Callithrix jacchus: one gene and its partner. The protein of the gene in region 2 interacts with the protein of the main gene of each other region in a pairwise test. Links are inferred from orthologs where the notes say so. Each region holds a gene or a part of one and is shown on either strand. Other genes may lie near its edges.

Region 1 (3,815 bases), on a different chromosome or scaffold from region 2:
TTACAGAATCAACGCTATCCCCATCAAGCTACCATTGACTTTCTTCACAGAACTGGAAAAAACCACCATGAACTTCATATGGAACCAAAAGAGAGCCCGCATAGCCAAGTCAATTCTAAGCAAAAAGAACACAGCGGGGGGCATCACACTACCGGATTTCAAACTCTACTACAAGGCTACAGTAATCAAAACAGCATGGTACTGGTACCAAAACAGAGATATAGACCAATGGAACAAAACAGAGGCACCGGAGGCAACACAACATACATACAACTATACAATCTTTGATAAACCTGACAAAAACAAGCAATGGGGCAAGGATTCCCTGTTTAACAAATGGTGTTGGGAAAACTGGCTAGCCATGTGCAGAAAGCAGAAACTGGACCCCTTCCTGACACCTTACACTAAAATTAACTCCAGATGGATTAAAGACTTAAACATAAGACCTGGCACCATAAAAACCCTAGAAGGAAATCTAGGCAAAACTATCCAGGACATAGGAGTAGGCAAGGACTTCATGAACAAAACACCAAGAGCATTGGCAACAAAAGCCAAAATAGACAAATGGGACCTAATCAAACTCCACAGCTTCTGCACGGCAAAAGAAACAGTCACTAGAGTGGATCGGCAACCAACAGAATGGGAAAAAATTTTCGCAGTCTACCCATCTGACAAAGGGCTGATATCCAGAATTTACAAACAACTCAAGCAGATTTACAGGAAAAAAACAAACAAGCCCATTCAAAAGTGGGCAAAGGATATGAACAGATACTTTACGAAAGAAGACATATATGAGGCCAACAATCATATGAAAAAATGCTCATCGTCACTGGTCATCAGAGAGATGCAAATCAAAACCACACTGAGATACCATCTCACGCCAGTTAGAATGGCGATCATTAAAAAATCTGGAGACAACAGATGCTGGAGAGGATGTGGAGAAAAAGGAACACTTTTACACTGTTGGTGGGAGTGTAAATTAGTTCAACCATTGTGGAAGACAGTGTGGCGATTCCTCAAGGCCTTAGAAATAGAAATTCCATTTGACCCAGCAATCCCATTACTGGGTATATATCCAAAAGACTATAAATCGTTCTACTATAAGGACACATGTACACGAATGTTCATTGCAGCACTGTTTACAATAGCAAAGACCTGGAATCAACCCAAATGCCCATTGATAATAGACTGGATTGGAAAAATGTGGCACATATACACCATGGAATATTATGCAGCAATCAGAAATGATGAGTTCGTGTCGTTTGTAGGGACATGGATGAATCTGGAAAACATCATCCTCAGCAAACTGACACAAGAACAGAAAATGAAACACCGCATATTCTCACTCATAGGTGGGTAATGAAAAATGAGAACACATGGACACAGAAAGGGGAGTACTAAACACTGGGGTCTATTGGGGGGAAAAGGGGAGGGCCAGTGGGAGGGGGAGGTGGGGAGGGATAGCCTGGGGAGAAATGCCAAATGTGGGTGAAGGGGAGAAGAAAAGCAAAGCACACTGCCATGTGTGTACCTACGCAACTGTCTTGCATGCTCTGCTCATGTACCCCAAAACCTATAATCCAATAAAAAAAAAAAAAAAAAAAAAAAAAAAAAAAAAGACACTTAAAATTATTACACGGTAATACTTAAGTAAAATCAAATATTACACAGTAGAATTATTAGAATTAGAAAAATCAATCCATAATAAAAACCTTTAATAAATACTTTCTTTTCCATTAAAGAACTTAACAAAAACAAAGCTGGTTCTGCCTTAACTACCACTCACAATTAGAAAACATAATCTTCTAGAAAGCTTGTCTTAATATTATTTCTAACAGAGGCAACTGTCATTATTTAGGTAAACATTGGGGAAGATGTCATGGATAATCTTAAATCATGGCAAAAACAAAACTAAATCAAAGTGGGTACCAAAAGGAATGTAAACTTACTAGGTAAAAATCACATTCAATATCCAAGAATAAAACTACCACTCTAAGACATTATCCAAAAATAGAAATATAATGCAAAGATTTTACACCACAAAAACTACATTAATTATTTATGGAAAACAGTCAATATCTGCTTTTATTTTCTGGATTTTAGCTGAGCTGTTTCAAAAATGTGACAAAGGCAAAAGAAACTGAACAGAAATTCAGTCTCTGCTGCAAGTTCCTATCTATCTTCTCTCCCTTACCTAATTTCTCTACTCTCACAACCCAAACTTTTACTTGTTAGAATCTATACAGCTATAGCGTCCCCTAATCCTTGCCTTCCTTGTGGCTTGGTAGGCAGCCAATCATCAGAATGATAGGAGGGAAGATAGGAGAAGATAAGGACATGGGTGAGAAGGAAGAGGGACATTCTCAGGTTATGGCAGGCAAGCTATGGGTACTTACTGAATAATACTTAGTGCCAAACAAGAAATGTCTCAAAGGCAGCAAAGGAAAGTAGTTAAGAACACAGGATTGGTAATGAGACTCCCATGGTTCAAACACGGGCTCTGACACTTACCAGCTGTATAATCTTAAGCAAGTTCTTCATCTCTCTCTGTCTCAGTTTCCTCATTTATAAAATGGGAATACTACTACTATGTATTCCAGTTTGTTACGAAGATTAAGTCAGTTGGTACACAGTAAGTGCTGTATATGTCTGTTAAGTGAATATATAAGGATATGTATATATTTCTTTGACTTTGTACAATTTTAGTATTTTGCATAAATTACCATTAATTGTATATAGGCAATGTGAAAACTGGGGCAGATTAACCAACATACATTAACTACACTTTGATGAAGAACAAAAAATCATTTTATACCTCTACTTTGGATGCCAAAAACACACATGTAGGAGCCATTAATACAGGATCTATACTTTTCAGAGAATACCTAAAATATGATAAAGCAAAGTTAATTATCATTCATATAGAAAGCACACTGGGAAAAAAAAATCAAGATAACTCTATGGCAGACACATGATTCATTTACACTGTGCTAAGGTTCATCCATATTAGATAAGAGTTCAAATAAATAAAATAAAAATAATCCTACCTGGCATAGAATCTCTTGAAATATACTGTAGCAGTGGCAATAACTTGTTGTCTTAATTTAAGATGTTCACCTAATGCCTGGATAACTAAAGGGAAAATAATGATATTTTAAATGTATCTTCTGGGATCATTATAATATTAACATTGAACAGTAACTTCCATGTGGTTAAATCATAATTATATTAATTTTTAACAAAGGAAAAAACATGTGCATGCTCTATATGAGCCACAGTGGTCTAATACAAGGATTTGTAAATGTGTTAAGAAATAAATAGGAGTGCATAAACGACAACAACAAAATAGAAATTGCCCCACAGCAAAATATTATTCATGCATTAAGGAAGTTGAGTAAGTATTTTCCCTCTATCTTCTAAATATTTTTAATGCCTTTCATATTATCTTTATAATAAATATAAAAAGAAAATATTAGATGCCTATGAAACTTGTTAATACTACCACTTTTTTTGTTGTTTTGAGACAGATATTCTGTTGCCCAGGCTGGACTGCAGTGGTACGATCTTGGCTCACTGCAACCTCTACCTCCCGGGTTCAAGTGACTCTTGTGCCTCACCATGCCCAGCTAATTTTTGTATCTTTAGTAGAGAGGGGTTTTACTATGTTGGCCGGGCTGGTCTTGTATCCCCTGGCCTCAAGTGGTCTGTCCATCTATGAATCCCGAAGTGCTAAGATTACAGGTGTGAGCCACCACACCCAGCTAATACTACCACTTTATACAGTTCACCAAGAAAAAAAAAAATCCATAATAAAT
Region 2 (4,310 bases):
GATGAACCCCTGGATCTGCTGCAGCTGCAGGGCGTAGCGGCACTCCGTCTCGGCCACCGAGTTCTCCAGCCCGGCTTTCTGGTAGAGCAACAGAGAAGACGTTACGTGGGGAGCCAGGCCCGGGGGAAACCTAGAGGTGGTGGCCACCGGGCAGGAGGTGGCAGGCATACCATGCTCAGCTGGGACTGTAGCTCAATCTCCAGGCCCTGGAGCGTGCGCCTGAGCTCCGTGATCTCTGTCTTACTGGTCTGAATTATGGCAGTGTTGGTAGACACCTCCTTGGTCAGCTCTGCACTCTGAAATGCAAGCAGGAAGAAGGTGATGGGGAAGCTCAGCTCAAACAGCCTAACCAAGGGGCTGTATCTGCTCAGCTCCCCTGGCCGTGTGGGGTGAGAGGGTCAGGTACCTTGGTGTGGAACCATTCCTCGGCATCCCGGCGGTTCTTCTCTGCCATGGCCTCATACTGCTCCCTCATCTCTGCCAGCACGCGGGTCAGGTCAATGCCTGGGGTGGCGTCCATCTCCACATTGACCTGGCCGACCACCTGGTTGGTAAATTCCTTCATCTCCTGTGGGGATGGGAAAGGAAGATGTGTGAGGCTCCTCATCCTCCCTCTCCTTGGCTCTGAGTCCTGGGAGAGTGTTCTGGAAAGTGCTTCCAGGTCCCACAGTGGAGGGCTGCGCCCGGCTGCAGGGGAGGGTTCCTCCTTCTCACTGGAGGTGGTTCCGCCCAGGGCAGCCTGCAGTTCCCGCTCACCTCCTCGTGGTTCTTCTTCATGTAGGCCAGCTCCTCGTTCAGGCTCTCAATCTGCATCTCCAGGTCAGTCTTAGACAGGGTGAGTTCATCCAGCACCCGGCGCAGGCCGTTGATGTCAGCCTCCACACTCTGGCGCAGGGCCAGCTCATTCTCATACCTGAAATAGTAAAACAGGAAAATGGTGTTTGGAAAAGCAAGACATAAATGATATGAAACAGTCCCCCTACCCCTGCACTGGACTCTGATACTTCTCCTTGACCTTCACTTCTGGGATGCTCCAGTGTCATTGGCCAGGTGAGCATTTGTCTAAACTAAGAAACTGTTGGGAAAGGAGAGAGAGGGGAAAAAACTCACTTGAGCCTGAAGTCATCCGCAGCCAGCCTGGCGTTGTCAATCTCCAGGATGACCCGGTTGTTTTCAATGGTGGCAGACAGGATCTACAAAATGCAAAAGAAGGTAACCTCTAGGGCGTGTGTGTCCAGTGTGTTGGCTTCCCTGGGCCACACTGGAGGAAGAAGAATTGTCTTGGGCCACACATAAAATACACTAAAAGTAATGATAGTTGATGGGCAAAAAAAAATTTTTTTTAATTTAAAAAAATTGTAAGACTCATAATGTTTTCAGAAAGCTTACAGATTTGTGTCGGACCTCAATCAAAGCCATTCTGGGCCACATGCAGCCCAGGCTGGACAAGCTTGCTCTAGGGGTTCCATGTGCTTGAGGAGGTGGCTGGGAAAACATGGGCAGGACCGGTTCCCAGGGGGCTCTGTCTCTAACTTGAGCTGGGACAAGGCATTTCCCTCTGGGCCTCTATTGCTCTTCCGTAAAGTGAAGGGTGGAGCTGCGTTCCCTCCAATTGCTCCTATTGCTTGAACATTCCATGTCTGAGCACCCTGGGAAAGACGCAGGGAGTGGGTTTCTGAGGAACGACCTGCTGAGAACATCTTTGGTTCGTCATGTCTCGGCAGCCTCAGACTAGCACCCTCCCCGGGCCACTGTCTTAAGAGCCCTCCCCTGAAAGTCAGGAGGGACTCAGCTTGGTGCTGCATATCTCCCAATCACGTTGCAGGAGCTGACCTCCCAGCTGAGTGGAGGGGAAATCTGACAAATATTCCCATCCATTTGAGTTTCTTGTCTAAACATTTATATTCCAAAGCACTGAAAGCCTATTCCACATGGCCGGGACTCAGCCCAGGCTGGTAGATTTCTACTCCAGCAGGCTGGTATCACAGCATAACAGGCAGGGTTCAACAGAGGGCATGCAGGTAAGTACTGCCTAAGCCTCTGCCTCTCTCTCCCCGACCTAGCCATCACCAGTTAAGAATATCAGTTTGCATGGGTCCCCTACAAAGTAAACAGTTATTCCCAGGGCAATGAATGAACATGTTGATTTCACTTTCTCTGTTGATTTCACTCATTCTTAGTGGCTTTTAAACCTGTCATGTTTCCAAATAGCTCAGTGGGTTGGGATTATAGAGATCGAGTCACAAATAATGTAACTGTCTGGAAAGCAGCAAAAAAAAAATGGCATGAGTAATAACAGCAAGAAAAATGAATAATGAGAGAAAATGCATCTGGGGAGCTGTGGCATGAGAAAGCCCATCAAAAGTAGAGACTCTTGGTAGTAAAAGATGAGGCTTTTCACCCTGCAAGAAGGCTGTGAATTTCACCAACACCTGGTCCCCTGCTACACTGTGGAACCTCCTTGGCCTTGGAGGCTCTGCCCTGCATGGGGGTGCCCTCCTCAGCTTCCAAGGTCTCACCTTTTCCCGGAGCTCTTCAATGGTCTTGTAGTAGGTGCTATAGTCCCGCTCCGGGCTAGATGGGCTCTGCTTCAGGTGCCAGTCACGGATCTTTACCTCCAGGTCAGTGTTGGCCGCCTCCAGAGCGCGCACCTTCTCCAGGTAGGAAGCCAGGCGGTCGTTGAGGTTCTGCATGGTTATCTTCTCATTGCCAGTGAGGAGGCCGCCATCGCCAGCACAAAAGTCAGCAAAGCCACCAGCAAAACCCCCACCAAAGCTGCCTCCAAGACCACCTCCATAGCCACCTCCAAAGGCACTACCAGCCCCTCCACCAAAGCCACAGCTTATGCCGCCCCCATAGCCCCCGACAGATCCCCCAGAGACAAACCGAGTTGAGCAGGTAGAGACACCACGGCCTCCTCCCAGCTGGCAAGAGCCACCCCCGAAACCGCCTCCATAGCTGGCGGAGGAGCTCTGCAGGCGGAGGCTCATGGTGAGAACAAGATTGAGAGCAGGTGCAGACAGAAGCTTGCTTGGCCTGGGCCGAGGACTGTGGCTCTTCCCCAGAGTGGACACCTTTTATACACCTCCACAGGGGCTGGATATCTTCTCTCCTCCCTTCCCCACCCTCTGACTTGGTGCCAACTGCACTTCTTTTTCCCACAAGCCCAGTTACCTCTGCTCTCTCCAGGGTGGGTTGTGCCTTTTGGGGGTGGCTTTTTTTTTAATCCTTAACAAAAGGAATGATTCAGAGGGGACAGCATTCTGCCTGAGACTGCCCTTTTGACAAGCGAATTCTGTTTCACCTCCACTTAAGGAGTTCACCCTACAGGCTCTGAGCCCCACCCAGTATCAGAACGGGACCTAAGATGCAAAGGCCTGCCAGGAGCCTCTGCAAGGGAAGTGGTGGCTGCAAAGTGGCTCTGTGCTTTGCCAGGTCACCGTGGCCCTCGACCTTCCTTTTTTCTATACTACAATTCCCATCTGGGATGTCCTGGATCCCTCTTAGTACTTCATCTACTCCAGGGGTCCCAGAAACTCTGAGGACAAACTTTACTTGGTCTGATAGAATCAACGGCCTTGAAAGTATTTAGGCCAAGAAAGCAATGGCCCCAAAGCATCAGAAAAAGTCACAGTGACAGAGACCCTCAGGGATCTTAGGGACCATCAGACACAGCTGGGAAAACTCAGGCATGGAAAGAGGAAGTGGCCCTATCCATCGTCACAGCAAATATTCTCAGAGCCCTCACCCTAGGCAGGACTGGGGTGAAGGGACTTAACACTCATCATATTTAACCTTCACAGCACCTTGGGAGCAGGTTCCTACTGTTACATTTTGCACATGAGGAAAATGAACCTAAAGGGCAGATTCAGGACTGAAATCCAGGTCTGGTTCTGTCTGGCACTGAGGTGCATTCTTTAGGTATATCTTTCATACAGTAAAATGTATAGATCAGGTCCAGCTTCATGTCTTTCGACCCAGGCGTGACCTGTGTAAACACCACCCAGAACATTCCCAGCATTCCATAAAGCTCCTTGCACCTTTTCCCAGTGAGTTACTTGACTCCACGCCCCTGATACCACCACTCTTCCAACCTCTGTCCCCATAGACAAGCTCAGTGGTGCCCAACTAGGAGCTGCTTTTCTCCCCAGGGGACATTTGACAATGTCTAGGAACACTCTGGTTGTCACAACTTGGGGGCACTACTGGTAGCTAGACACCAGGGATGCTGCTGAACATCCTATAGGGCAAAGGACAATCCCCATGGCAAAGAATTCTCAGACCCACAGTATCAATAGTGTTGAGGTTGA

The links.
Region 1: the proteins of KRT13 (region 2) and CCNC interact in a two-hybrid assay, tested with the Homo sapiens proteins (2 studies listed by BioGRID and IntAct). The two-hybrid records come from large-scale screens. The link is inferred for Callithrix jacchus from reciprocal best matches to the Homo sapiens genes KRT13 and CCNC.

The regions. Positions count from the first base shown.
Region 1 is NC_133505.1:105,600,759-105,604,573, forward strand, and holds part of CCNC (cyclin-C), read right to left. Parts: intron 3,133-3,815; coding exon 3,048-3,132; intron 2,886-3,047; coding exon 2,816-2,885; intron 2,650-2,815; exon of another isoform or gene 2,566-2,649; coding exon of another isoform or gene 2,512-2,565; intron 1-2,511. UniProt on the Homo sapiens protein: Component of the Mediator complex, a coactivator involved in regulated gene transcription of nearly all RNA polymerase II-dependent genes.
Region 2 is NC_133506.1:91,751,524-91,755,833, reverse strand, and holds the start of KRT13 (keratin, type I cytoskeletal 13), read right to left. Parts: upstream 3,053-4,310; 5' UTR 2,991-3,052; coding exon 2,520-2,990; intron 1,194-2,519; coding exon 1,111-1,193; intron 914-1,110; coding exon 757-913; intron 569-756; coding exon 407-568; intron 297-406; coding exon 171-296; intron 79-170; coding exon 1-78.